Linked DNA regions of Lepisosteus oculatus. The main gene of each other region encodes a partner of the protein of the gene in region 3 in a complex. Links are inferred from orthologs where the notes say so. Each region holds a gene or a part of one and is shown on either strand. Other genes may lie near its edges. The genes, in order: lamtor1, lamtor3 and fnip1.

The links.
Region 1: fnip1 (region 3) and lamtor1 share a complex: the UniProt entries of both Homo sapiens proteins name them as parts of the lysosomal folliculin complex. The link is inferred for Lepisosteus oculatus from reciprocal best matches to the Homo sapiens genes FNIP1 and LAMTOR1.
Region 2: fnip1 (region 3) and lamtor3 share a complex: the UniProt entries of both Homo sapiens proteins name them as parts of the lysosomal folliculin complex. The link is inferred for Lepisosteus oculatus from reciprocal best matches to the Homo sapiens genes FNIP1 and LAMTOR3.

What each region holds. Positions count from the first base shown.
Region 1 is NC_090700.1:12,729,157-12,739,656, reverse strand, and holds lamtor1 (ragulator complex protein LAMTOR1), read right to left. Parts: upstream 5,063-10,500; 5' UTR 4,889-5,062; coding exon 4,847-4,888; intron 3,463-4,846; coding exon 3,317-3,462; intron 3,198-3,316; coding exon 3,120-3,197; intron 2,089-3,119; coding exon 1,965-2,088; intron 1,705-1,964; coding exon 1,612-1,704; 3' UTR 131-1,611; downstream 1-130. Other genes in the region: sfrp2l (secreted frizzled-related protein 2-like), read left to right, coding at 5,856-6,378, 6,983-7,060, 7,461-7,771; tomt (transmembrane O-methyltransferase homolog), read left to right, coding at 9,509-9,770, 10,263-10,459. UniProt on the Homo sapiens protein: Key component of the Ragulator complex, a multiprotein complex involved in amino acid sensing and activation of mTORC1, a signaling complex promoting cell growth in response to growth factors, energy levels, and amino acids.
Region 2 is NC_090696.1:56,882,922-56,892,935, forward strand, and holds the start of lamtor3 (ragulator complex protein LAMTOR3), read right to left. Parts: upstream 4,895-10,014; 5' UTR 4,834-4,894; coding exon 4,712-4,833; intron 2,831-4,711; coding exon 2,772-2,830; intron 1,800-2,771; coding exon 1,666-1,799; intron 470-1,665; coding exon 406-469; intron 1-405. UniProt on the Homo sapiens protein: As part of the Ragulator complex it is involved in amino acid sensing and activation of mTORC1, a signaling complex promoting cell growth in response to growth factors, energy levels, and amino acids.
Region 3 is NC_090706.1:24,569,839-24,580,173, forward strand, and holds the start of fnip1 (folliculin-interacting protein 1), read right to left. Parts: upstream 4,073-10,335; 5' UTR 3,991-4,072; coding exon 3,902-3,990; intron 1-3,901. UniProt on the Homo sapiens protein: Binding partner of the GTPase-activating protein FLCN: involved in the cellular response to amino acid availability by regulating the non-canonical mTORC1 signaling cascade controlling the MiT/TFE factors TFEB and TFE3.

The DNA.
Region 1 (10,500 bases), on a different chromosome or scaffold from region 3:
TCACATGCCATATCACAGTGATAGTAATATACAGTATATGGCAACTGGTTTGGTGCAAATGAACAGAAATTATGGTTTTATTTTTAATATTTAAGGTCTGAATGTTTGCATAAAAAAACAACATTCAACATTATCAGGTATTTCAAATATTTTTAATGCATAATTTCAATAAACAACAAAAAATGGTATTAACAGAATCCATTATTAATGAATGCTGTTTTGGTACTAGCCTAAGAAACAAACAATGTAATTCAGGTAGTAATACATTTAAGTAAAAAAAATACTATTAGCACGCTGCAAAAAGCCAAAAATAAGATGTCTGTTCATGTTTTACAGCCCTAAGGTTCATCCCTTTAAAACCCAAAAAGTGCCTGTCTTTGCACTAGAGATCTGCTCGCACCAGAAAAGAAAATATAAAGTGACCATAAATACATTAAAAAGAAAAAAAATACTCTTGTATTTTTAAGTATCTTGACATTAAAACTGTTTGAAAGTACAGCAGCCATTGACTTTTCAACACTAGGTAAATGGATGAGGACCAGTCTCCACATTCCCTCAATTCCTGTTTCTTTTTTTAAAAAATTAATGAACCTCAGATTAATAAAATGTCTTCTGTTAATAAAAACTAGGGCTTGAATCTTTTGTTGGCTTTCATTTTCATAACTTCCACTTTCTCAAGAAAAGTCATTAGTGATTAACCGACATGATTGCAACACCAACTAACCATACAAACCTCAATCACACCATTATTCCTTGCCTCCATGCATTACAAAATCTGTACATTAAAGGCACTGACAAACTAAATATTGTTTAAACTCATCAGCTTCTTTTTTTTTTCCTTTCTTAAATTGCGTGCCCGTGAATTTTAAGTGCTGGTTAATTGCAAGAGAAAATATAGCAACAGCAAATCTCAATGACAAGAAGGGTTAAGCACTATGTGAGTTTGTACATTTAAAAAAAACGTGGTAATGAATCTCTATGGTCCTGGCCTGATTGTACCGTTCTTAAATTGTTTGCATACCAGAGGCTATAAAATGTGACAAACTGTGTAGTGTTGTGTGAGAGTTTTGTGGACTACATAAGTCTAGGCTGAGGTTTCCCAAACCCAAGACATTTCAGGACAATAAACTGGATTTGGTCACTGGCCTCCAGAGATGTAAATTAACAAAATCAACCCACTGCACAACCAGATACGTGTTCCAGTTAATCTCTGAGCTATGGGTTTCAAAAGAAATCCTCAGGTGGACCCAATATCATTTTTGTTTTCATAGTGGCATTCACTTATGGTGTTCTAGCCATAAAAAATGCTTAACCAATGAAAATCCAAGCCATAGTTTTAGCGCCATCTTACTAATACACTGAGAACAGCATGGATCTGAAATTCCTCCACAGGTCACAAAAGAGATTCCTACACACACTTTAGAAGTTCCTGTTCGGTACGAGTTGACCTATAGTACGAAAGTTCGGTTTCCAAGTCGATCAGCTGTTGATGCTCTACAGTAGCACCGCTGATGTCTTGGACAGAGAGAGATGGAGGGTGTAGTTAGAAACATAAGGGAGATAAAGAAAGAAATCGGAGTAGACCAAGGACAGAAATCTATCCTCAGGCGCTCAGGGAATAGCAAACTGCACCACCAGTTCCTCTTTTGCGTCAACTTTTATCTGTGAAATTGCACTGTATGCATATGCCGCTACCTTTGAAACCTGGAAAAAAAAAAACAAGTCATTATTAAAATCAAAATCTAACTTATTCACAAAACAAACAGGAATGTTTTGCATTTATATGAATGTCTAAAACCGTCTATCCATCATAAAGTCACTTATTTCTGGAAAGGTTTGCAACAACCTGGAGCCTACTCTGAAAGCACAAGGCCTAATATACATATTAACATATAGTGGCAGGTTGTGGCATATTTAGCAATGATTGTGAATATTATCAAGCTATAAAAAGCAGGATTGTTTACCTGTTGTATGTCCGAGTATGGCACAGGATCACTTGCAAGCACCTGATGGGGCTGGCTAGTTAGTGAGGGCAGAGGTGCAGGTTTCTTCTGTGACAGTGTGTTACTGAGGCCTACCAGCCTTGTACTAAAACATAAGCAGCAGAAGTTATCATTAGAATTTCCACAAAACGTATTACCTTCTTTCAAAGAAAAAACGATCCAGCACATCACTGGATTAATTGGCGTTTTAACAAGACTGTCGCTTGCATTCCATTACGAAGATCATGCTAAACCTCATCTATAATCTTCACAAGCTAAGCATTTCTAACAGCTAGAAGGCCATTAGTAAATTTCGACTATGACAAATTTGATATTCAGGCCATCTGAGGAGTTCAGTTGAAGTCAACTGCTCAAGGAGTAGCTGGAGTTACTGTTATCTGTTTAGTGTGTCAGTTAGTGGCCTTAATCCAAATTCTATTCAGAACAAGGCTGCCAAATGAGTTTACTGAAATGTTAATTTCCCTCCATCGTGCACTTAAGTGCAATACGTAAATAAAGTTTAACTCTATGGTTACAAATAAATCAAGAGACAGATACTCAATATGCTTTCAACCAAACAATCCTTATGAACAGACATATGACCTATGTCCTCTAAACAAACGGAGTAATTAAATTTAAGTGCCTACAAATTGTAAGGGGCTTTATTACTCTTGTGTAAATGATACAATATAAGTGGACCCAATTATTGCTCCGAGTGGTAACTGAAGTACTCTGTATTTCTGTGAATATTTGTATATCATCTTCAAAAGAGCTTGTCTTGCACTCATGGGTAGCCATCATCCACAGTAACACTTTAAGTTTGGTTTATTTTTTTGGAGAGTAAGTTGGAGTCCAGGGTTTAGCTGGATCATGGCTTCCACTGGCTACAGACAGTGGCAAATTCAGGACAGGTATCATGTTATACAGAAACCAAGCACTGGACTTTTGAAGAGATACATTTTCCAGGAAACATTTTAGATGTTTTTATGATTCTGTATCAAAAGATTCTAGCTTTAATACTTCATCAGGCAGAACCTGTTTATCATCCAGAACAGGAATTTGTTTTAAGGAAGCAAAGATATTTTTAAATGTCCTAAGAACAAGCAACATAGTAGAGAGTTGGAAGTTTGAACCTACCTATATTGTCGAGCTTTGTCCATGTACTCATGCTGCTCCATTCCCTGGGAGTCTGCAGCTGAGACATCAATTATATTCCTGGAGAGCAAAACAAGAATGAGCCTCTAAGTTCCCTGTCCCCTCAGTGTGTTCAGACTACCACACAGCAGCCAGTCTCACTGTGTGGATAAGATGCTTCCATTCCACCATCTACTTACAGTGCTGTCTTGGTGAGGATGGACGTGAGGAGGGCCTGCTCATCTGTCCGCGCTGAGGGAAGGCTGGCTGAATTCCTCTCTGCTCCGTTGGTTGGTTTATTGTCCGGGTTGGGATGGGGGATCAGCGGTTTCCTCTCATCTCGGTCCTGAAAGGCAGCAATGGTGCATTTCATCAAACGCAAGCAGGGAACACCGGGAGTGAGCGCCTTAGCTGGACAATTTAAAAATCGCAAATTTAGAAGCAGATGATGGGTTGCTTGCTAAATATAAACCCTGGGCTGTTATTTGTCTGCCAGGACTGAAGCTTAGAAATACCTTGCAAATCAGGTGATGAAAATATTCCATATCTCAGTACAATATTTTAAAAAGTACACTGTGAACTACACCTTTGACAAGAAATACAATTTTCACCATGTCTGCCAAACTGAACACAACGGCTAAGCAATACATGAGTTTTTACATTTAAAAAAAAATGTGGTAATGAATCACTATAGTCCTGGCTTGAATATGTACCCTGTATAAAATGTGACAAATTGTGTAGTGTTGTGTGAGAGTTTTGTGAACTATGTAAGTCTAGGCTGAAGCTTCCTAAACCTTCCTTAACTCAATAACTTTCAGGACAATTAATTGGATTTGGTCAAAGGCCTCCGGGGATGTAAAATAACAAAATCAACCCACTGCACAGCCAGATACATGTTCCAGCTAATCTCTGAGCTATGGGTTTCAAATGAAATCCTCAGGTGGATCCAAAATCACTTTTGCATAGTGGCATTCGCTTATAGTATTTTGGCCATAAAAAATGCTTAACCATTGAAAATCCAAGCCATAGTTTTAACAATGCAAAACTAAAAACAATGCAAAGTGTTATACTATAAGCAAATATCTTTCTGAGAAGACATGATCAAATAACATCCTGACACATCACTGAGGAAAAGGAACAGTAGAGGCTGGTGTCCAATTGGCTCATTGTGCATGCACTCTGAAATTGTTCCGCCTGTCACTTTTTTTGTCCCACATGACTAAATATTTCATGCAAGGGACAGTTTGTCATGTGATTTGCACATTATTGCAAAGTTCCAGAGTCATGTGACAGACGAGGTTATTTTGTCATGCTGAATCAGATTCGTTTGTTGTTGTTGTTTTTTTTTTTGCCAAGGTTGAAAATTAGAGAAAAAAAATAAGAAATCAATAAATCTCATGCTGCACATTCTTTCGTTTCAGGTCATGCAATCCTGCATTCCTGTAGCCTTGTCATTTGGGTACTTTAGAAAACCATCTTTACTAAGTTCTAGCCCTAGTATGTTTGCCCGTGTAGTACTTTTGCCCTTTAGGCCCTACTAAACACACTACGTCTTCACAATTTTTGGTACAAACATTTTCTTTCTATACGGTAGCTAAAGGAATAGAGATGTTCTCTTCGGGTCAATCCAGTCCCGCATACTCCCTCTCTCAGTCTCCCAGGTTATGTTACATTAGGAATGCGTGTTACTGCTACCTCGACCATTGCTTCACTAGAACAGATCACAGCACCTGATCAGTGGCCTCCGTCTCGCTGCTATAACAGCAACCCATGGTATCCTCTGGGGGCTCTCGGCTCTCTGCCAGGCGAACCGAATGCAATCTCCAGCTTTTCTTCCCGGTAAACTAATTAAAGAAAGAAAGAAATTCCGGTGTGCAGGCTTGGGAAGACGAAAACCAGCAACCCCCTTCTCTTCTGTTCCTTCCGATCTTCCCCTCTCTCCAAACCCCAGGCTTGTAGTCACATGACAACAGCTCTGTAGCAATAACATATGACTTCCGGCTGACGTGAAGCGGAGTTGGGAGAAACCAAAACACCCTCAACACGTGATACAGGAACTGAAAATTGACCGTCTTGTCCGCCAGCTCCGTGCAAGAATAACAGTGGGGGTAGATTGTGATAGTACAACTACTGACATCTTTGTTGCTGTGTTTTGTACCGTTTTTGTTGTTATTACGTATGGTTTTAATTAAACATAACTAAAAAAATGTTGATTGCAAAGAATTTGAAAATAAGTGTAAATTACTAAAGCTGGCACTTCCAACACGTCCTCAAAGCACTGTAGTTAAATAACAGGTCTCAATTTTATAACCCTCAATAAACACATTTCCCGGATGGTATTACAGATGGCATTACACAATGCCTGGTTTAAAAACCAGTTTGACAGGATGTGTCTCGACCATTTCCCTCTTTAATTTAGGTGAATTACAGATCAGTCATGGCATTTATCTCCTAGCAGAACACCAGAGAAACACTCTTTCTCAAGCTCTGCGAAGACGGGGGACTGTACTTGGCGACTCGTATTCGTACTTGCAGCTAATGGAGGGAGAACCCAGCTTATCTTTCTGGCAAGTATGGTGAATGTCAATATTTAATCTTGAAACAAGAGACTGGATGCCGAAATGCCTCTTAAGCATCAGTTTGAATAAGTGAATAACGTCAATTAACTACACCGAAGACTGATTGTGGGGTTAAGAAACCTGATTTAAAGGCTTTTTAGTACTCAAAAGTACGAACGTCATGATGGCGGTATCCATTCCGTTTCAAGTTTGGATACTGCTCACATCCTGGCGCGTCTGTGCAGCTGACCCTTCGCTACAGTTCGCCCCCACTGGATTCAGCGCCAAGCGCCAGGTCTGCAAACCCATTCCTAACACGATGGGTCTGTGCCACGACGTAGGCTACAGAGAGATGCGCCTTCCCAACCTGCTGGGCCACGAAACCATCAAGGAAGCGCAGCAGCAGGCCGGCTCCTGGGTGCCGCTGCTCTCCAAACAGTGTCACCGCGACACCAAGAAGTTCCTCTGTTCCCTCTTCGCCCCCGTCTGTTTACGAGAGCTGGAGCGGCCCGTCCGGCCGTGCAGGAGCCTGTGCGAGGGAGTCCGGGACGGCTGCCTGCCTGTCATGAGCGCTTTCGGGTTTCCCTGGCCTGAGATCCTCAACTGCAGCCAGTTCCCGACCGGCGCCGAGGTCTGCATCCCGCCCACGGCTTCTCCGTCCAGCGACAACGGCAACCCGGGGCCCCACAGCAACGATATGGACGGTTTGTTGGAATTCACCTGTCATTGATTGTGTTGGTTTCAAATACTATTTTTAAAAGTCTGTCATCGAAAAGACACAGCGCGCTTTGCGAATTTACCTTTAGAGGCGCCATATAAAATCAATGTATTATTATTGATTTAAAAAAATCTGAAAGCGCATAAATTTAAAGTGGAAAGCAAGAGATTCGATTCTAGGGAGCGTGTTATGAAACGCGCAAAACGATACGTGGTTGTTAAGAGGTTTTGCATTAGACTTCAATGGTTGTGCCACTTCTCGGCTGGTCGTGTTTGATGGCAGAGTAGTTAATACTGTCTATAACAATTTTCTTCCCCGTAACATGACATCTACTTTCTATGAGGCAGAGGTGGGAACCTCGAAACATTGTCTGATATTAATCTACCACTAAATAGAAACACAAATTCGAAATAAAATACTTAAACGTTGTTCACTTGAAATGCTTACCACCCTCCGAATGTTTGCCGGTGAGTTGCTGCTATCTTTGCTTTTCTTTCATGTGCACGTTTTAAAGACGACTCAACTACGAATATGTTTCTAAAAAGATTTTTCCTTGAAAATAAATTAAGATTCCTTTTTCCTTCGCACAGGGACATTGATATGCGAGGCGTGCAGTTTGCCAGAAGGTGGGAAAGAGATTCTGGAGAATTACTGCAAAAGCGATTTTGGTGAGTTCAATAAAAAGTGGATGATCAGAGCATGTGCTGGAGTACCTTTCCTAATCCAAATTTTGTACGCTCCTCGTATGGTGCATGTGTTTGAATTCTATGTGCTCCTGGTATGTTATATTTGTGTTTAATTCGTGAGATTAAATCAATCCACCCAGCATATAAACATGCCGATTGCTTCAGAAAACACTGATTTAAAGTAAATTCTAATTTAAATCCAACTGGATGGTAGTTGTATTTAAACAATATCAATATCAGATATTTAAAATATCAGCTTTTAAAGAAAATATGTAGGAGTAAGGCTACCATCTCAAAAAATACCCTTATTTTTACCTGCATTTCCACATAAAGACTATTAAATTTACACTTTTCTGCTTTATTTGTCTGGATTTCTATACAGTCGTGCGACTAAGGGTCAAAGAGACACAGTTGCTGGGGGCTGACCGGAAGATTGTTCCTAACGGCAGAAGCCGGGTGGTGCTGAGACAAGGTGACCGCGCTGAGGAGGAGTCGATGGCTCGGAGCGCCCTCTGGCTGCCAGAGGGCAGCAGGTGCGCCTGTGAGGAACTGGATGGTCCCTCCTCTGGCATCATTCTGGCCCTGGGGAGCAGACAGAGAGGTAGACTGGTTCTCTCCAAGCTGCTGCTGTGGCAAAGCTCTGACAAGGAGCTGAGGAAATTCCTCAGGGGACTGCAGAAGCTCCGCTGCTGAGTGGATGGATCTTTACGTGTGTATTTAATGGGGAAAATAGGGGTGGTGAATATTAATAGAAGATATAACCTCCCTGTCCAGTATAACAGAAAAGTTCTCAGGGGTACAGAAACACCACAGTATAAATGACAAAGGTCTGGTTACATTAAATACCTTTAATATCAAATATGGAAAACGTTTCCCTCACTCAGGAAAGAGATTCCAATGTTTAAAAATGCTTTTCTGCATCAGCCATGTACCTTTGGGTCTCTTAAGGGCAATACAATGGGGAATTTAACTGAAGGTGTTGTATGTAACTAGCCATTAACAATTTAATTACTATATCAGAAAACATTGAATTATTTATATAAATGACAGCATTGGTGCATACGTTGTGTCATTTTCAGAAAGCATTTTTACAAAATAATAAATAAACATCAGCATTGTTAAGCAATAGCTTTTCCTATGATTGTTGTGTTTTTTGTTGCATGTTGTTTTATTACTGTAAATGAAATGGAAAATATTTCATATGTAGGTGGTGGTTGTGGGAGGGGGCATTAAATTGAGTCTACATTAAATGACTTTTCAATTTTTTTCAAGCCTAACAAATATCGTACCACCCTTTACAATACCCAGTAACATTTTTAGATCAATGTTACCTAAATCCAAGTGTCCAAACACAAATATAGTAAATTGTTGGACAGTACAGTAATTGCCGAGGTTTTAGAATTTCTAAATGGTTGTATAACAAAAATAAACCTCCATCAAATCGAAGGACTTCAAACCAAAAAACACGTTGATGGGGATGTTGTATTTTCCTGGTTTTTTTTTAGTAATGTGTTTTTTTTCCCATTAAAAATTGCTTGAAACAAAGGCTTTGTGATCTTTGAACAAAGGTCACATTACCAAGCCTCCCGGGGGTGAACTTGTGATGCGTTCTGGAGAATTCCTGTCGACGTGTTGCTGCGATAAGCGGGGCAGGTAACCCTATCCTTGAGGATCCCGCACCTCTTTCTCTCTGCGAATTACTGGATCAGCTTGGGGTCGCATCAATAATTCACACACCTCCTCTTAACAGCGGTGACTCGGCCAATTTTACCTGTCTTGCATTTAAGGCCCGAAGCTCAACACAGAGCTGCGTTTCCCCCAGCCCTAGAGTCTTCATCCAATATCTTCTCGAAACAGGTTGGTCTGAACTGCATTACCAGTGTTCTGATATTCAAGTGTGCTTCCGCTGTTTGTGGTCTGGGGTCTTTACTGTGATTAGTTCACATGCTCTGCACTAAGCATCGCTGTGAGGGGAACTGTTCCCACACTCAGGATTGTATGACAAACTGACCTGGGATAAAAGACCTGCAACATCTAGCTGTGATGAAACTGAGTACATAAATGTAAGGTGCTACTGGTTTGCTTGAAGCTTCTTTTGAGGCTCTGTACAAAATCAACAAATGTATGTTTCTGTGGTGTATACTGTAGACCACAAGTACAATGTATGGTATTATTTTTAAGGTGTATAAATCGATAGTGGTGCATCTGTTGTTTTTTTTTTATCTATTCTTGTAAGGCATGACTCCCTCAGAAGTGCGATAAATCCTCAGTCAAAAGAACGTGGCTCTGGCTGACGAAACATTTGAATAGCGCTTGTGGGTACGGGTTTTATGAACCTTTGGGGGTGCTGAAAAGAAAAAAAGACCCCTACAGCCAACTGGGACTTGTATCTCAAATTTGTTTTGTGATTATTTTAGGTCAGCCTCTATCATGGTGTCCCCAGCGATCGCACTGGCGTTCCTACCTTTTCTGTTGACGCTGGTGATCCGCTACCGCTACTACTTCGTGCTGTTCTACCGGGCGGTGTTGGTGCGCTTCATACAGGACTGCCTGAGCGGCCTGTCCAGGGAGGAGCGGGCGTTCCAGTATGTGCTCACGCACGTCACTCCGGGAGACCCAGACAGCATCCTCGAGGCTTTCGATCACTGGTGTAGGAAGGTGGAGTACATCAGCAACATCGGACCCAAGAAAGGTGTCTATTACTACATACAACCCCCCTTTAACTGTGCATGGTGTTTTCTTCCTGGTACTGTACGTAGGCTGGACGGGTCAGGGGATAATTGTTGACTATTTTTCTCGCATCGCATTTGAGATAACGACTTTTTTACAAACTCTCTGTTGTTACTGATATTGGTCAATAAGACTGAAAATACAGTTTCAAATAGATTTGAAATACAGAAATTCGCATTTGCAACTTCTGTTATACTATCTGGATAGTTATAAAATGCGCATTAAAACGTTCTACGAAATTCACATAACATGTATCATCGCACGTAGAAAGGGGTAAGTTCACAGAATTATGGGTAGATTAGTCTTATAATGAAAAAAATAGTACAGAGAATCAGCAAGAAAAATATACTGTTGTTATATTATATCGTAGTAATAAATTGGTACACTAATCGCATACAAAGATGACTTCTTTGATTGTTTCCATCTGTGTGGTTTGTAAATCCTGTGATTACAGGCAGACTCCTGGACAGGCTGATATTAGAAAATGCCCCTCTGATTGTGCTGGAGCTGGGCACACACTGCGGGTACGGAGCCGTGCGCATCGCCCGCTCGCTGCCTCTCGGTGCCCGACTCTACACAGTAGAGATGGACGAGCGCAACGCCGCTGTGGCCGAGAAGGTCATCCGATTGGCCGGCTTTGATGACGACACAGTAAGACTCCTTGTTTATTGATTTATCAAGGATAAAATCAC
Region 2 (10,014 bases), on a different chromosome or scaffold from region 3:
GTTGGTAATAATTGTTAATTAACAGACTTACAAGCATTGCAATAAGCAATAACTGCGTGCACATGTGTAGTTGCTGTCAGAGTTTTTAACACTACAAATCCACAGCAGAGGTAAGCAGTGGATGGAGAATGGGAGTGCCTGACAAGCTACAGGACCTACTGCTCTACAGCAAGCCAAGGGGTCCCTGACTGACTTCTGACCCAAATAATTGTAGGCCGTGTTTGGCCATTTATAATGTATATGGTGGCCTTTTGAAGGATTCAGGTTGCTGTCAGCTTATATCTAAAACTAAGGCAATCTACCATCTAAGCTTTTGCTGAATTATCTATTTAGACAATTAGTATGGTAGATTATAGAAGAATGTTTTATAAATGGGCTACAAACTCAGAATCTAGAAGGACATACCCGTGTTGGCACTGCTGCTTGCGATAAAGCTGATTACCAGTGGCAATCGATTAAACTGGACAATCTAAAAAGAGGAAAAAAATCACAGGTTAAATGGACAATCTATAATCTTTCTGAAATACCTCATCTTTCAAATTTATTTTTTCCCACAAGTACAAATGATAATGTCATAGTAAAGCTATATTTCTGACTGTTTCACTGAATCTTGTTTTATCTCTTTAAATTGTCACTGTCTTTAAAGTGATTATCTGACATCAGAAAAGATGTTCAGAAAATTCAAAATTTCTATTAAATCATCTGGAATCACATTTACAAAATGAGGGCTCTATAGATGTTTAATCAGTAAATGTATTTCAGAAAGCAGTCTGAGCTGATGAGTCCACTGACTAAAGATGGGGTCAGGGTAGGTCATTATAAGCTGATTGTGAAGGGGTTTTCCCTAACTGTTGCAGACAGCTGGCAAAAGTACTGTATATCCAAATTGAAGAGGAAGGAAAAAAAAGTATCCTCAATTGTGAGGAAATGTCTCTCAATATAACAACATCAAAACAACTTTCAGAAGTACATTATTTGAAAGTCAGTTCCATAAGTCTTTCAGAAAAAAAACATGTCTAAAATAAATGTTATATATAAAAGAAATAATAAATCATAAATCACACTTAAATTGCTATGCCAGTACCAGAATTAGTACTTTTATGTCACTACCCAGTGATGCCACAAATACCCCCTCATATAATTCTTCTTATGTTCATAAGCTTTAATTCAAGAGCTTTTTCTTGAAATTAGGTTTCTTTATCACTGAATAATGAGAGCCTTTAGTGATTATAATGAATATAATGTACTTTGTTATATGTCTGTTTTTGGAGTAATTATTTTTTTATGTCTATGAACTGTTAGCAACATAAACTCCCAACTGGGGATAAAGTGTATCACATCATATTTTATTATACAAAGGGGAGAGAAACATTCTTTTGACCTTATTCAAACCAAAATACTACCAGAAATTGGTATTATTATATCGGGCCTCCATTGCTAGCTCATTTTCCCTTTTCTGCTGACAGATTCTGAAACAAAATACACCACTTAAAATGACCAGGTGATACTACAACTGATTTAGTAATTTGCCTGTAATGTTTATCTTATGTATATGTTTAAGTCCACTCTGTCCCCTTTTGATATATCAACTTGTATCGGTGAATCAGGTTACAGTCTTCTGCTTTAAGTGCCATCAAAGAAAAAGATCACCAATATCAATATCACCTGGTATGTGTTATAGTAGCAGATGATGCTCTTGTTTTTGGAAAGTCCCAACTTGCTGCCTTGGTCAGTTGCCAATGCAAATGTGGACAGAAACCCCGGTCTGAGAGCATATTCAGGAGCATTGTCATTTGCAACTGTGAAAAGAAAATCACAACTGTCAAAATCTATCAAATACCAGTAAGAATGCTGTCAGATGTGGCATTGGTCCTAATTATTTATTACTCTGTACAACAATTTTTAAATATGCATTTCCACACATGCAACATCAAACTAAAGCATTTTTTAAATGTATCAAATCATATTTAATCATTATTCTGAATTAATTTTGCTCAATTATTTGAAAGCATGAAGTATACCTTATACACACACTATAAGTATCATACAACTAGCACATTTATACACCCCAAACTACACTGTAAGAATACATAAAGAAAACAGGATAAAAAAATCACATACTTTTCAATGTGATTTAAATTCTTAGGCAGCTAAAAAATCATTTACAATTCTTTACATATTCACACATTATTAGTTACTTAACTTTGCACTTGATTATTAATTGAACAAGAATTGTGTGAAGCTCACATACTATGCAAAATTGTTATATGTAAATCTGTGACTCAGACATGAGGTTATGCATATTTAATACAGCTGAAATGTCAATTTCATTAAGATTTTGGCTGCATTTTTAATACAAACATGACAGAGCACACTGAATATCTGAAATGCATGTGATTAACTATCTGCACTGTAAAATAGGTGAATCTTAAATGTTTACGAAAATTACAAATTAGTGTAGAATGGTCTCTAAGAAGAACAAAATCATCAGTATTACATTTCATTGACTTCTGTGATGAACTACTTAATTTTTAAGAAAATACATTATGACTGTACTCATTAATGTTCTATATCATGATAAGGGCAGAGAGAACATTTGACCTGAAGTAATAACATGCTTAATGCAATATGCGGCAATATAGGAGTGAATTAAATCTGAAATGAACAAATGATTACCACTAATGATAGTAATCCATCACCTACTTCATTTAAGATAATAAGGCAGCTTTATACATTTCTAGCTTGTTTCTTTCTTCATTCTATAAATGTACCTTTTATTACTGGTACTCCATCTCTGTCAGTCACTACAATTGCATGAAGGCCTTCAACGCTGTTTAAAAAAAATAGAATTTTAGAAGACAGAATACAAATACATTTAACAAAAGGATGTTTTCTAGACTAATCTGCAGCTACAGGCTAGGCATTTCAACTATTTGTCTTTATTCATGAGGAAGAAAGGGATACACAGAAAAAAAAACATTTCAAAGGATACTAACAATTAAACGGAACAAAGACCTATCAGAGGTTTTCTTCCTTTTTCTGGTGGAGAAGTAGAGAGGGGTGCATGATCAGCAACTCTGCCCTGAAATGGTTATATAAACCAATCAATATACAGTGATAATACCTTTACGAATCAGAATCCCCAAATAATTCTAGAGCTGGTTGTCAGATGCAAATTTACATAATGGAGGGCAATTTTAAATGATTTATAAAGGTCTCAACTAAACCAGCATTGTTACCTGCAGTTACCCTTTTAATAATAATAATAATAATAATAATAATAATAATAATAATAATTGCTTACACACTTATTTAGTGCTTTCCTGGAAACTCCACTCAGGGCGCTTTACAAGTACAGGTAACTACCACCAATGTGCAGCATCCACCTGCAACGGCAGCCATAGACTGCGGCACAGTATGCTCACCACACACCCGCTCTCAGTAGGGAGGAGAACAGATTGATGAACCCAATTCATAGATTGGGATTATTAGGAGGCCATGATTGGTAAAGGCCAATGGGGAAATCTGGATGCTGGGGTAACACCCCTACTTTTTTCAAGAATTGCCTTAAGATTTTTAATGACCACAGAGAGTCAGGACCCTGGTTTTACGTCACAACTGAAGGATGGAGCCCTTTTTAAAGTATAGTGTCCCCATCACTCTACTGGGGCATTAGGACCCACACAAACTGCAGGGAGAGCACCTCCTACTGTTTTTCCCACAAGGTCTCTCATCTAGGAACTGACCAGGCTCAAACCTGCTTAGCTTTAGTGGGTTGTCAGTTGTGAGCTGCAGGATGATATATGGCCACCGATGTAAGCTTTTGACCTAAACCATTTAAGCGGGAACAATAGAACTATAGACTTGACTTGAAATCATATGTAACATCTTGGAAAACTTTAGCAACATATATCAAAGTAGAATTTTGCCATAAAGCACAAGGATCAGGAGCAAAGGTTGAATCATTTTGTTCATAAGGAATTAACTTCAATATCAAACTACTTGTAGGCCATTAATTAAAAACTCTGTTTTCTGATTCCTGGAGGAATCGAAAATGTTAGTGTAATTTAACATGGAAGGGGAAGTGCTGTTTTCATATAGGCCAAAGTTTAAATGCCAGAACTTTATAATTAATTTTGGCACAGTTTTACCTTTTTATAGGGAAACGTCATAAACCATGAGCTATTTTTTTAGTGTTTTTGTCAAGGCAATTTTCTGTTGTCATAGATATTTTCCAGGAGGTTTTGACACCCAAGTATTTACTTCTCTTTCACATTGGGAAACACTCTCCAACCTATTATCTATTACCTCTAAAGGAAACTGATATTTTAGTGCTTGATTCATGGCAAAAGGGGGGGGGGGGGGTGAAACAATCCTTTGTTTGTCTGTAGTAACAGATAACTAAAGTCCAGTCCACAAAAACAAAATGTCTAAAAACGGTGTAAACATTTTAAAAACATGTTGCAGTTCACTTTGCTTAACCATGATTAAGCAATAAAGTACGGCAGGGTCTAGATACTTCTGAATATAACATTTGCAATTTCACTTCTTCACAGTTTGGTCTGGGGGTAGAGTTCTTGTAACGAAAGAAGAGAACTGAGGCGGAGGTTATTAAGCACAACTTTCAAACTAGTTGCAAAACAGACAAGGATTGTGAGAGTGTTTCTCTTCCCCCTGCCCAAGTACCCACTACCCAACATCCACATCTCACCTTGTTTTTTTATAGTAACATCTTGGTAATATTTTATTAAGTATATCTTGGTTGAATTTATGGTGTGGGGATTGACAGGCTGGAGATGACCTTACAGGCTCACTGAGAGCTGCCTTTTTCATTACAGTGGGTCATCAATCAAGCAGAGAGAAAAAAGTGCAGGTATCTGCTGAACATAGAGGAGAAATTAAGCTAACTGATCTCTACAATTTTTGTGATTACAATTGTGTTAGTTATTTTAATTAACTTAACGCTACTGCATTAGTACTTTAATCATCATATAAGGGGAGGGATAACACATGTCTGTTAACCATACATACTATATGCAATAGTGCACTATATAACAGTATAAAGGTGGTCTTGCTTATATGGCAATTCTGCTATTTTCTCTGCGCCAAACCCTCACAAATATTGAGACCCTACTGCATAGAAAATGCACCTAACATTTATGTTGTACCACTCTTTCATCACTAGTGATTCTTAAATATCTTTTAGATATATCTTAAATATAGATTTCTCTATAGCAAAAAACAAATTAAAGTTTTCAAACCTTGGCAACTGCTTATACAGATACCTCTTCAGCTCCTGTGAAAAACAATCAGATATAGCTGTTGGAGGGATCTGCTGTTTACTAGTGCATTCCCATTATGAGAAGGTTTGTGGTTACAGACAGCACTTTTATACCCTTCACACAATGTAACAAAGCTGGTTTAAAAATACTGAAAGGGTACATTCCATATACATAAATAAATGAAAATATGAACACTTGTTAAAGATGATGGCCAGAAATGTAATATTGCATTGCTTTGTGGTCACCTGGAAGTGTCTCAAAGCTGAAATGTGGAAAGAGATTCTAGAAGTGATCTTGATGAAGTCTGAGTAATACAGCAATTTCTTCCTTTCATTTGAGTAATTTTTTATCCCAAAGTTTTCTACATATAGATAAGCACCTGTTTGAATTACCACTGAAGTGCAATACCCACAGTGCTTCACAATGAAAATTACATTGTTCTTATGGAGTATTGGAGAAATGGAGTATACTGGGGCATTAGAACAGGATTTGGAAAAAAAAGGGAAGAGTGCCACCTACTGTTTCTACCAACAACACCAACTTACAACAGCAACCTGAATTTCTCTGGACATCACCCTTAACAGCACTGACCTGCTTAGCTTCTGAAATCTGATAAGATCAAGACATAATGTTGTAATTCTTCTGTCTAAAAATAAAAACTGTAAATGAACTTTTCACCTATTTACTGAAGAGCTCCCAAATCACACCTCCTTATCTAGTGTTAATCCCGCTTTTGATTGACCAACACGACCTCCATATGACTAGACAGCAGAATATTTATGAAATGTACTACAGAATGTACTACATAAAGCATTTTGCTAGAGCAGGAAGCATAATTTGGGGGAGATGGAGAAGTTCTGCATGGAAGAACAGTAAGAAATCTAACTTAAATATTGTCAGAACAAATTAAAAGGTTACAGGAAGTGATTTTTTATTATTATCAGCACCAAAGGCAAATGAAAGAAATATTAATTGCTGTAGGGTGAATAGTTTTTAATATTGTATATTTAGGACAATTTGCAATGATTTTAGAAATATTTGTTTTTGCTGTATTTCAAACTGTCCTAATATGTGTTATATTTTAAACCCAACTTAAGTTACACAGTAATTGTTCAGGCTACAATTTGTATACAACTGTATGCACTTACAGTTCCTACACCCAAAGTTAGGAACTGCATGAAAAACATAATGATAAGATTCATGCAACAGTGGAAATTGAAAATATGTATCCATTAGTATCAGATTTGTTTTCCAACATTCACTGGTAACGGTTTGTCTTCTCTCAATTAACATCCTGCAGCAACGGAAAAAAAAAAAGATCTGCAGTTTGCTAACATTAACATACAACATTTTTTAGACAATTTATACAGTAAATACTTACATCTGCCATTTTCTGTGTTTTTATTAGAAGTTAAAAACCTAGAAAGTAAAACAACTAAAATCAGATGTTGTGATGAAAGGACAAGAGCAAGGACTGGAAAGTGTCATACTTTTTTCAAGAAATGTTTCTAACTCCAGTTTTTTTGCATGAAACTCTGTTTTATTAAAGGAAATGTATAAAACTGTAAATGTATAAAACTGCAAATCTAAATAACAGTAATCTACATCTCTTAATGTTTCAAATGTGATAGTTTAGTTACATTTGACACCAACATCAAATTTAACACTCGTTCAAACTAAATCGTCTTTCAGCAAATAATATAATTTTTAGACGGAAGTGTGAATGTTTCTGATACTGTAGATTAAAACAACTTAATTGCCACTAGTTCCAGTGGCCAGAATAAATAAGACTATATATTATATTTATTGGGAATACCTCTGTCAAATAAGTATTATTTTAAAATAAAAATATTATAATTTATGAGTAGTAAATTAATGTCTGATATTATTGGAGAAGGAGGTAGAAAATATTTAGGGCTTCAGAATGGACCGAACGAAAAAATAGATAGCACTTCTCCTTCTAATGTCAAAGACAACGAGCATTAACATTTACGTTTAATTATTATTAATTATGTATAATGTTAATTAAACGTACACTTAATTAATAAAGAAATAGGAATAAACGTTTTATCAAAATCAGTGTCAAGATAAATGTATAGGATAATTTAGAGGCACTATATGTCACCTTTTTAAGCTAGATGACCTATCTCCTACTTTTAATTTCTACTACAAATTAATTTCAAACTGAGACCTCAGCGGCTGAACCAAATAAAAAGGAAACGAAAAGACAATGTGTCTATGATTCCTTTTAAAAAAGAAAAAAAATACGATAACCTGTTCAAAGGCAGAATACTCTAATTGGACTTATAATGCAAAATAAGACGATATTACCTGCTTCTGCTAGATTTTTACGGAAGGTTTGTAGAAAATGAAATAAATCACATGATATTTACACAGAAACGGAAGTATTTTAACAATTGACCTTTCAACAATTGACAGCTTCCGCTGTCACAAACGTAAAGAGTTTCCTATCGTACCGTGCCTCCCCATAAATGTGAGCATTCTTGTTTTAGTTTTTTCTACATTTATAAAGTATACTGAATTAAATAAAATGGGAATTTTACAGTACACCTCACATATAAAAACAAAAGAAACAGGAAACATGGTTATAAAGGTCTCAACTAAACCAGCATTGTTACCTGCAGTTACCCTTTTAATAATAATAATAATAATAATAATAATAATAATAATAATTGCTTACACACTTATTTAGTGCTTTCCTGGAAACTCCACTCAGGGCGCTTTACAAGTAGCGGTACAGCAAATCACAGAGATCATTAGAAGTGAAATACTTATGAGTTACATGAAAAGAACATCTAGTTTATAACTAAAGATAAACAACTGAGGATTAAGGTTTTGACAAATACGCTGTAATGATTCCAGTATCTGTGACTATGAGCTTGATCATCAAAATAGGATTTCCTGATTATTTGCATTACAAGCATTTTACGACAGTGTGAATCCTTGTGGTTACAACTGACTTACGGTAAAGGCCACGTGTGGTTGTAGGAAATCAGCGCGGCGTGGTGGTGTAAAGAACATATTGGGCATTTTGGGAGCAGGCGGTATTTCAGATAAAGGTGAGGTAAATGTTTTTTTTTTAAGATGTGCTTATGATTTTTTATTGGGTCATGCTTTATAGTCTAGTTAAAGTCCAGGAAGTTTTCCAAACTATTTTATGAGTCAGTTTGCTTTGGGGAGTACCTAAAACTGAACAGTTTGGTTATAGTTTAATTACTTCACAATTCATACCTACGTTAATTTCTACATAAATAATTGTATGCTTTGGTTCAATCACATATTAAGAGTTAATCGGCATTTTTGTCTTCATCACTTCCCCCTAAATTAAAGGAGATATTTATGCATGGTTTCAAAGTGAACGTCGTGAAAAAAGTAATGTCGATTAATTTCAATGAGCAACGCACTTCAGTTCAGTGTGGCATAATAAAGTGGCTCCATCTTATTCATTACCATTTTGGAACATGTGCTTTGTCCACTGAAAGCTAAAGTGTAAGTTTTGTTGCGATCTCACCCGATTCTAATTTTTTTCCCCCGCGAATCCAAAATTCATGCGAAGCATGAACAGTAGTTGAGCTAAAAGGGAGTAGTACTGTTTTCTTTCATTTATGTATTATTAAGTGAAAGTCAATTCTGGTACTAGTACCCATTTATATAAAAAAAAACTGCAGTCAGGATATGAGGTTGTTACAAAAAGCTGGTCAAACTGTGTCAGATTAATCATTTCAATGAAGTTTCAATTTGCCGAGCAAGCTAGTATCAGACGGGTTTTTTTTTGTATCTTATTCTGTTGTAATTTGGTTTTACCCAAAATGCTGTCTTATCAGCCCACTTTCTCAATGACACATCATAATATGAATTAATGTTATACTTTTTATACTAATTAAGAATATTATTAATACTCTTATGCATCATACCCTAATCTGGTGGAGTATAGCTGTAGGTTTTTAAAATTTAATTAACCGTTTTTGTTTTCAATAGTGTTAGAAGACGTTCCCACAAGGAACTTTAGAAAAGAAAGATTCACATAATTGTGGAATTGGTGATTGAGCACTTCCAGGGGAGGATTAGGATTAATTGATCAACTCGGTCTCGGTTTTCAAGCAGAAAGTAACTCCTTGATTTTAATGAGTTTTAACTCTTCGGTAGGATAAGGCAGACCACATTGCGTCAGATTGCTCTGCAGAGAGACAGGTTTTAGGGAAGTTTGTCTCATTCCTAGTTATTCACAATTGGTAGTTCTCAATTGGAAATTGAGGTAAAATATGCTTTTACCTGTTGAAGCATTTAATTGTTGGAGTAACGTTTAAGAGCCAAGATGGTCAACCAAGGTGGGATCACGAAATCTAGGTCACACATTCTAAAAAAACACAAAACTCTTTTAACTTAATGGAACACTGCATTTTGCAGTCGACGTTTAGGAGGCCAGGGCTTAAATTTCACTTTAATTTTTTTTTTCTTGTGCAAAACAGGAGGATCAGAAATGTTTTGTGAGTTGCTCAAATGGCAGTAAGTGGGTCTGTTTAGTATAGTAATGTAAGTAAATGATCTAAGTGCCCGAATGTCATAAATAATATAATAAATGTCTTGTCATGCTTTGAATAAATAAAAAATGATGCTCTGATGAATAATTATAACACTTATGTATCATGTCGATGTTGCTGTATGCAAATGTGAGACTGTACGGTTTTGATTGTAGCTTTTGTTCCTTAAC
Region 3 (10,335 bases):
TATTAGTAAGGCAAAGGAAAGGGCATTTTCTGATGCTGGCATTCAAACTTGCAAAATAAACCCAAGAGTGCACCACAACAGACACTCAGCCGAAACAAATTTAAAAAGGCCCCACTGACAGCTCTCACCGAGATGAACTTTTACCAGATTTTGTTTGCATTGTATTAAGATTTAAGGGTGGAGTTTCTGATGCTATGAATGGGCTAATTTCCAGTGAGGCATTCAAAAGTGCTGGTAGCCCCAACTTTACAGAGCCTTTTGCAATGGTTTGGGAAACACAGCACTCAGCTGGATGGGAATAATTTGTGACCTGGGTTATCATGGGTATAAATACATAACATGCGTGTTTTGGTTTAAATTCAGTAGGTCAGCCAATTGTTTGACCTCCCCGGTATTCATGAGGACAACCCTTTCATCACTGTGTGCTCTAAGAGCTTAAGAGGATAAAATATGAGTAATCTATTCAAAAAATAAACTTCTGTTTAAAAATGTTTTTCACTTTTTTATTAGGGTAGTTGCTTAACAGACTATAGAGCTACAGCTTATCATTTGACACAAATGTTTATTGTTTATGTCTGTAAAATTATTTATATTATACTCAAATTAAACCAAACGACTTTGTCTTCAATCGCAAATTACAGATTTGGCTTCTAGCTCCGACTCTCCTGAAAATCTGGGGCCTTCATAAAGTTGATTTTCCCCAAAGAAACAACATGCAGCTGTATCAGTGATAATCTAGGGTGGGGTACTAATAATTATTCACTTTGCTACAGTGACATTTATGTGCTCATGGTCTCTTAAGAAACTTAAGTTCATTGTGAATTAATGTTCACATGCAGAACTTCCTGTAAGAAAAAAAACTGAAAGACTAATATGGAGACCAGACCGCCCTTATTACAGGAATTGAAGTGAGTCACATTTTAGGATGCGCTTATTTTAGCTAAAAAATTCATAGAGCTGATTCTAACAGAAAAATGAAGAAAGGATTTTTATTTCAAATTTAAGGGACTGCCCCTTCTGACAACATACCATTCACAAGCTGTGAGACTAAGATTTTTAAGTTTCACTACTGTTACAAATCCCTAACAGCCAACACCATTTTTTCAAATCCTTTAGCTTTGTAAAAAATGTGAAAAACCAACCCCCCACTTAAAAGTTACAATTCTTTTTTACATGCGCCATGAAGCAGAAGCATTCCAGATTTCTTACAGAATCTCAGATAATATAGAATTAAGATATAGAAACAACAACAATATTAAAGATATTTAAACACTTACTTGATCATTTATGTTTGACTGAATGAAACTTTAGTTTCAGGAATAAAAAATTCGGTCAAGCCCAAAGGTCAGGAATGGATTCTAACCCAGACTGAGTGACGTACATTAATGCAGGTAAAGCATTTTTATAGCTATAATTTATAGCATTTTTACCTATAATTGACCGCAGCAGAAAGGTGAAGTGTATTTATAAAGGGCCCATTCCATGTGCTTGTGATTAGCACACACAGCATGCTGGCACATAGTTCAGTTTATATTATGAAAGACTTTAGTTAAGTGTCCACCATTAGTGACAAAAAATAGGAGCCAAAATCAATGAAACCCCCTCCTTTAAAAGAGAAAACTTTCTGGAGTTTACTCTTTCCTCAGATGTGACCTCGTCCTACTACACAACTAGATTACATAATCACAAAGTTCATTAGTCACTTTTGTACTGATCAGATTCTAATACGCATTATAAAATCATCACCCACAAAAGAAATGTGGAATGACCTGATGTGCAAGGCCACAGAGATGTGTTGTGCATTACGGACTCATTTTGCAGACCCTAATTTGTGAAAACCCTGGACTCGCTAGCCAAATTAACATCAGGTAGTCCAGGATTAGTGATAATTAAGGTCTGTGAAACCACTGGGAACTCAATGATGTCATAAATACATCAGAAGAGGTACTGAATGAATGCAGTTGTGATTCCAATCCTGTTTTTAAGTAAAAATGCTGCATATTTTTCTGTATGGTTAGGTGTAAGGCATCTTTAATATGGAATTTGCTAATTTACGCTTTCAAGTTCAATTGCACAGACTTCTAGAGAATATGTGAGAGGATTCCAATTAAAGATTATCAATTCTCTAGGAATGTCCCTATTAAAATGCCTAAAAAAAGAGTATATCAAATCTCATGAACATAAGGTCTCACAGCTCAATTTATTAAGCCTCCCTTTCATTAAAAAAGGATAAAACAAACATCCTACTTCAATTGAAGATATCAAAACAAACCTAAAAATAATATTTAATTTCATACAAAATAACACAAATACTGATGAATGCAGAGGTATGGCCCAAAGACTTGGATAAAACAAAAAACCTCAACAAAATCAAGTTTTATTTGATCCTTCTTCATTAAACAGCCAGAGACACTATTCTGGCACATTGTAGAACCCCATGACAAATACGAGAATCTATTTTCTTCTTAATAAAAATGTGAACAAAAGAGCACTCCAGCAAGATTAAAATATCAACTATGAATAGTGATGAAAATTCTATGGGATCATTCAATGAAAAACTTAATTTATCTCAGATCAATAAGATACCAGTAACCACATGAACACAACTGGACCTAATATTACTTCTCTCAGTGCATATCTTCTACAAATATTAACATAATCAGTATATTGTCCTAACAAAGCAGGGGACTAGAAAAAATGCATTCTCCTAAAAAAAATCTTAAGAAAATGTTTTAATTTGTAACACAAAGCAATACCTAACAAAAAGAAATATAACCTCAAAAAAATGACAGTTTTCATTTTTGCAATAGATAGCGGTCGTGTTAGGAAATGTGTCTTGTGATTCATGATACAGCAAAACGAAAAAGTTTCACTCTGCAACGCGCAGGAATCCTGTCACATACTGTACGTGTCTATTTTAACTAAAAGGTCCCTCACGAAGACATGCATTTTTGGTTTTAATATCCAATGCTATATTACCGATAATTATTGTAGAATTCAGATTATTTAAATTGGGGGACTTTCCTGAGAGGGGCTTCTCAGACAGTGGTCTTCAACCCAGAAAAGTTGTGAAAGACCCATAATCTGTTCTACCCTTTTCATACCAATCTTTTTAAAGTACTGTACGACTGCGGTGAACACTTGCATGCATCATATACTGTACTTTTCACTCAATGCAATTTTAAGAGCATGATAAGCTATACTTACAAAATATGTATCAGACATACTGCACAGCACAGTTCTGGACTGTAAGAATATCTCAAATAAATACAATGCACAGCCTATATACTGTACAATAAATACATGCAAGCAGTGCCGACTATAAATGGTGTTCTAAAACATCAAATCTTTAATATTAATAGGGTGTGAGAGGGGAGGATATGAATTTTAGCTTTACTGACCTCACACAAACCCACGCGTTTTTTGTTGCGGTATACTGTATATAATTGAGTCAGACGCCCTGTCGTCATTCGAGAGATGAGTGAATTTTACATTCGTCAATGGTTTACAGTAAGGGGGGTGACCGATTGCAATGGATTTGTAATAGTTAATAGCGTTTTTAAACACGGTACTTAATCATATAACTTGCTCCCCGAACAGGCTGCATCCCAGTTCGTCATTCCGACTCTATGCACCACCTTACCCAAACAAATGTCAACACCCCAAAAAGTAAACTTGAATTCTGTAAAAATCTCACATTCCATATTTTAATGTAGCGAATGCGTAACCCAGAAACAAAAGAGTCCAAAAAACATACGGCTCTATTCTTCTTTTTGCAATCATAATCACGATGTTGTCAAAAACAAAGAGCAACCACGTTGAAACTTACGTTATCTTGATACAAACAGAAGCCATACCATGGCACGGTATTAAAACCAAGACCATTTGTTATGTCACGTACCTGAATGTCTGCTCGTCTTTTGCACACTTCGGAGGAGGCGAAAAGGCATTTCTTTTATTAAAAAGTTTTTGAAAAAGCGTAGGAGGCATTTTGTACCAAATACTTTGGTACAAAAATTCTCTTTCTTATCAATCCACAAGCACACCTAGTTCCTTGAAACTAACTCCATTTGTGTCAGAGTCATATGACAGGCATTAGTCACACAAGCTGCTAGGAAACACAACTCGATTTTTCTGATTGGACAATACTGCACCTTCATGGTTTTCAATTACGCGATTGGCTGTTATTTTTGGCAGAGCACCACGTGGTCGACAGAATTGCTGTGTTGATATTTTGGCGTGTGGCTAGGAAACATTTACAGAACTGTACAGAAATTATCAAAACCACACGTTAAACTTAAATATACGACGTTTCAATTTACATCTTAAGGTGATACATTGAATGCATGAGTCTTTTACTACAGAATGCACTTTCCTTAATTAAATAATACCAAGCATTGCTATAGGTTCATTACGTAACAGGAAAAAAATGTTGAAACTAATCTTATTTAAAATTAGACAAATCTAATGTAATGGTTTGGGGGAAATACCTTTATAGCATATTTCAATCAATTACATTTGCTAAATAAAAAGCTTTATACAACGAAATTGTTTTCATTAAACAGGTGTGATAACTCACTAGAAAAGGCATATTTAAAATAAGTAAATTCAGAACAAAAATCACGCTAAAAAAGATAGCCATTACACAAAATGAGTCTTCAAATGTCATTGTATCAATCTATTTTCTCTTACATCTGTAGAGGAGTACTGTAAATGCAGAGCTTGTTGCACATCAGTACTGTAGATAAATACTTAAAATAAGAAAAGCAAGGTAGAAAAACCTATGACTTTCTTTAGTCATTTTCAGCTAAAACTACACAAGCAAAGTTAGTAACATCTTGAAATTTGAGTGACCACTTCTTTATAAAATGACCTAACATTGGAATAATAAGATTGCACGAGACTGCATTCTGGCAGCATGGTGGTGCAATGGTTAGCATTGCTCTCATGCAGTGCTGGGAGTCTGGGTTTAATGCCTGACCTGGGGTACTGTCTGTGTGGAGTTTGTATGTTCTCATCATGTTTGCATGGGTTTCTTTTATGTGCTCTAATTTCCTCCCACAGCTCAAAACCTTTCTGCTAGGTTGAGTGGCTTCTGGGAGAATTGGCCCTACTGTAGGTGAGAGTTTGTGTGCCCTTCAATGGACTGGAGTGTTGTGCAGGGCATATCCTTTCTTGTGCCTGTTGCTGGATGAATGGATGAACTGTGTTCAGATTTATGTATACAAAAGCAACAGTCAAAGTCCGAAATCCTGTTCAAATAAACGTTTCCTCTTTATAGAAGTTCAAAAAGATTACATTAATTTTAGGTGATGGATCCATTTTAAACATCTGATTGAAATTCTATTCTATTCGATTTTCTAGTCAGTCAGTGCTTGTTCACTTTATAATTCAGATGAATATGACATCCTGCTGCTACATGAAATCTGTTGGCTCTTAGGTTAATAAAACTCAGCACATCTGTGCATCTTGCTCTTCACTGGTTACAATAAAATATACACCCAAGCATGATGCTTAGCTGAAAAAGTTCTTTAAGTGTTCACTTAACACTAGTGACCAATTTCCATCTCATAACTTCAACACAAAATGTTTACCATGCGCAGGTAGTTCTTAACACCTTTAAAGAAAATGATCCTCATTAAAGGCAACACTGCCCTCTACCGAAACACAGAAAGACTATCATTTAGCTCATCCGCATTCAACACCAGACAGTGGTGTATGATTTGCAAAGTGTGCGAAATTGAAGACAGTTTTGTTTAATCTCAGTTTTAATCTCAATATAAAAAGTATAGATGTACAAAATGTATAACAATAAAAAAATCCTTTTTTAATTAATATCTACGAGTTTTTTACATGAAAATGTGTCCACAGAAACAAATTTAGTATTATTCGAATAGCAAAACAAATTACAGTCGAAACATTTTTATTCTTTTCAAATGTACATGTTATTTCTATATACACAAAGTTTTCCTAAAATAAGCTTTCAAGCCTTTGTTTGAAGTAGAGGAATCTGATTAACCTGCCTTCTTATTCAGGCACAATTTATCTTTTCATTCACTGAATAATATAAAAAATATTAAAACGGTTATGCAATGTTATTTCCAAAATACTTGCTAAAAATAACACTCAAACTGTACATCTAACTGTCCTCATTTGTTCCCATACATTTTGTCTCTTGCACCTTCTTTGTCACCAGCTCAACTGAAAGTGAAGTTTCTGCCCCAGCACCATGTGGGAACTAGAGAAATGTGAAAACAAATGAGAAAAGCAAAAGTCATAGTTAATTAATTCATTCTTTTTATATGCTCCAATTTGGAAATGGCCCCACAGCACCTACACCACAGTTATGTTCTCCTGGACTTGTCCCTTGAGGAGATTCTCAGCTCTTTGGCTTGGCTTCAGCCTCCAGGGAGCATCATCTGTGTTCTCAGCTCAATGATTTGAGTATTTCAAAGTAAGAGCTCATTCCAGACAACACTCATACATCATGAAAATGTTTATACCGGCAATAGTGCTGCTGCTCTTCCTCAGAAAAAAAGAAAGACAACTCTTCTGTACGTTTTGGCAAGAAACATTTGAGCCCTGTAGTCTGCGATGTGAGGTGTTTTTGTCTGTCTGTTCTACCTGGATCTGTACTTAACAAATATAGCAAACAATGTGATCTCCAGGCATTATTTAATCAACATCAACGGCATCCAACATTTGGTAAAGATGTGAAAAGTCAACCACAACTCGTTTTCTTAATGAGTTGCCTTATTCTTCTACTCCAGTTTTGTTTTATTGCAGTTTTCCTGAGGGAAAAGGACAGAAGACCCCAGATGATGAGAGAGCATTGCCTTTTGAGAAAGTGTCTGAAGTCCCATGCGACCTACTAGAAACCCAAATCATCGTAATAGCCCTTGTGTTCCTAGCTTGTGATTTTGTAGATCTCATTAAATCACCACCGATCCAAAATCGGGAAACAACGATTAATTTGTTCAAATAAAAAAATGGTTTAATTAAGAAATTAAGAGCTGAGGTCCTCCAGGACCGGGGGTACCCAGATTTGGTCTGAGGTATACACATTTAACTCTTGACCCTGGGCTTGTGGGTCTCAGCCTTCAAGACTGTACTCAACCAATCCCATTCACCTTGTAATGTTCTCACAGTATAATGGCCTAAAGAAAACACAACCTACCTCTTGCAGAACGTCTTGATTTCACATTCTATCTAGAGGATCTACATTCTTCTTTGCAGATTTTTGGAAAACTCTTCCTTGATTTAATTTTCTTTCAGGAAACCTTGTATTCTCTCTCTCTGGTTTAGGCTTACCACTCTCTTCTGTCACACCTTGTTCAGCATACCTTCCTGTGTTGTTTTGGATAGGACCCATATTTGTGTGGAAGTACTGTACAGTAGATACCAACCAACAATCAACTTTCCCTATAACCTTAATTTTGTAGGATTTCTTGCAGTGTTTTTTTGCTTTCATAATCACAGCTAACACCCTTTGACTGATCTGAAGAGTAGCACAGCTCATTTCTGTAATTATAAAGAAAGCACAGTTAACAAGCACTCGAAATAGCGGTACCAGTGTTCACTGTGATGAGGGGAACTCACTGAGGAGATGTAAAGTTCTTAAATGTCTTGACTTCTTAAACTTCTTCATCCAAGCACACAATCTTTCAATCCAAGTACACAATCTTTCAATCTGTATCACATTGCATTACATACCATCTTTAAATGATAGTTATGAACTGTTTGACTAAGTCCTCGGTTTGAAAGTAAGAACTGGTTTAATTATTTCAGACAGAAGGATATACAGAATTAAACTTAGAATGGAGACATAAAGCTGAAATGAGCCATAAGTGACCATAAGGCCATATTTTAGGGTGTTAGAGTGCGCATTATAACTGAATTAGTATGCATAAACTGATTGAATACATATTAAGATGAGATATGGACAAGCTTAATAGCTACTGTACTTATCATCTTAGGTGCTGCTGAGGGTAAAAAGATTCATAGGGAATGTCATCCTGTCCTTCTTAGTTTCTTCTTTACTGTTAGATGGAAAACTGAAAAAATAGTTCAAGTAGGTAGCTGCGTCAGCATGCATAGGCTGCAAAGGAACAAGTAAAGGTTTATTCCATGCTGAAAAGCGAAGAAAAGAAACAAAGTTTTGGTTGCAGACCCTTCTTCAGGTGTCTCACTCTCTTCAGTGTGGAATAAACCTTTACTTGTTCCTTTTTGAAAACAAATGCAACATTTTTCAGAACACAGGGCTTCCTGAGCCCCACAGAAGTACCAGAAAGTTGACAGTCTGACGTCACTTACTATTTAAGTAAAATTAACAGCATTACGTGGACTTATCAGCGCTCAATCTGAATAATTTGTGAAGCATTATTATAACTTTATGTTAAAAAACAGCACCACAACAGGCCTAACTCTCAGCAGAACCGTGTATCCCTTTATAACCAAACTTAGTCTAAATTAAACCCATGTAAGAATAAACTGTAGCTTTTTACCCTTGACCAGTTAAGTAATTATTCAATTAATACATCATACAGGTGAACAAAACAGAGGCCTAAACGACCTCTAGTGGCAGGTCAGTGAAACAATAATCATCAGTATTGCTGACCTGCTACACACTGTTGGCATAATTAAATACACAGCCAGAACATTAAATAGTTTATGCCTACTATTGTGGGTATTATTATACCTGTCTAGTGGTTTTAAACAAACCACATCTCATTAAGACAGTATTCCTTATTGTTTTTAAAATATATCTTTTAAAAATGAATAAATACCATCACCCTAGCTGATCTCAATGTACTGTTTAGCTTTACAAACAACTGGGCATCTTTTGCTTCACTTAGTTCTTGAAAGACTTTCTGATAACAACAATCACCATAATTAATTATTAGCACCTTCATTATTATACTATGATATTATCCTGTGCCTTGCTTTAACCAGAACAAAATCTCAAAATGATCGGTCTGGTGAAATAAAAATAAAATTCAATATTCCCAAAATTGAAGGATGCATAGAAATTAAACAGCACTACAGTAGTGTGGGAAAGTATTGTACACCAGTATCTCAACTGGCCGTGAATCTAATGTTTTTTTAGTTCTTGAAGCCACTTTAAATTAGCCACTGCTCTTCTGTTTTTGTACAGTTTATCAAGGTAAAAACTTTATTCCTTTGAAAACTTGGCAATTGTAAAGTAGGACAAACTTAAGATGTTTTTCTTTACCAAGTTCTTGGAAAACATTGCAATGAGAAAGTCACAATATTATAACTGTACTGTAAATAATCCATTTTGAATTAATAATCACCCATCCAGTAATAAAATGAAAAACAATGAGTAAGGAAGCAATGTAAATACAGATTAGACATAAACATTTATTAAGTAAAATTTCTACAATGTTCTTACATTTTATGCTGTATTCTTATTTTTCCGATTTGTTAAAATTTATGGAAAAACGAATTAATGCAAAATTAATGACAGCCATGATACAATTAGAAAACAGCTCAAAATTAGGTTCCATATAATTAATTTAAATCTTAACCTCTACAGACCTTCATAAGTCTTTAATAATGGGAGTCATTTCATTGTTGTGGATTACAAAATAAATCCACAAAAATACAAAAAATCATAACAATCACATCTTATTTTTTCCATGCAGTTTGATAAACTATGAAATCATCTATATTTATAATTTATTTTAATCCTATTTCCTTTACATATGATATATATATATAATACATGTATAGCATATTTCATTTCATGCTGTATAATACATTCATCAGGTTGATTTTTTAGTGCAGTTGGTTGGTCTTCCAGCCAGTCATGTCACTCCTTGCAGTGTTAATTATTGAATTAATTAAATACTTTAAGGCTGGGTTTTGTTTACCATGCAAAATACTTGCTTCCAGTCCACTCTTTGAACATTCATATTACAAGAGTGCTATACAAACACATGCACTTTCATTAACAATATACAGTTTTCACATCTGTGAAGCCTTAATAACTTAATAAGCCTTAATAAGATTAATAACACCACAAAGGTAAGAAGGATAAAAACAATATTGAGATTTAAAATGTAAAAAAGTCATTTGTGGGCAATTCTCAATGAATATATCATTTTTTATACTCCTTGATATCTTCAGGACTCTCATGTAATTCATTTATCTTTGTTGAAAATGTGTATGTATGAACAGATAATATAATTAAACCCCTTTAAATCTGAGAAATAAAAATGAAAAAAGCTTAAACCTATCCTATATCTTCCTGGCTTCTCAAGTATTTTTTTTACATACTGTTGCTTAGATCTATATAAGTTCTTAAGTTTCCAC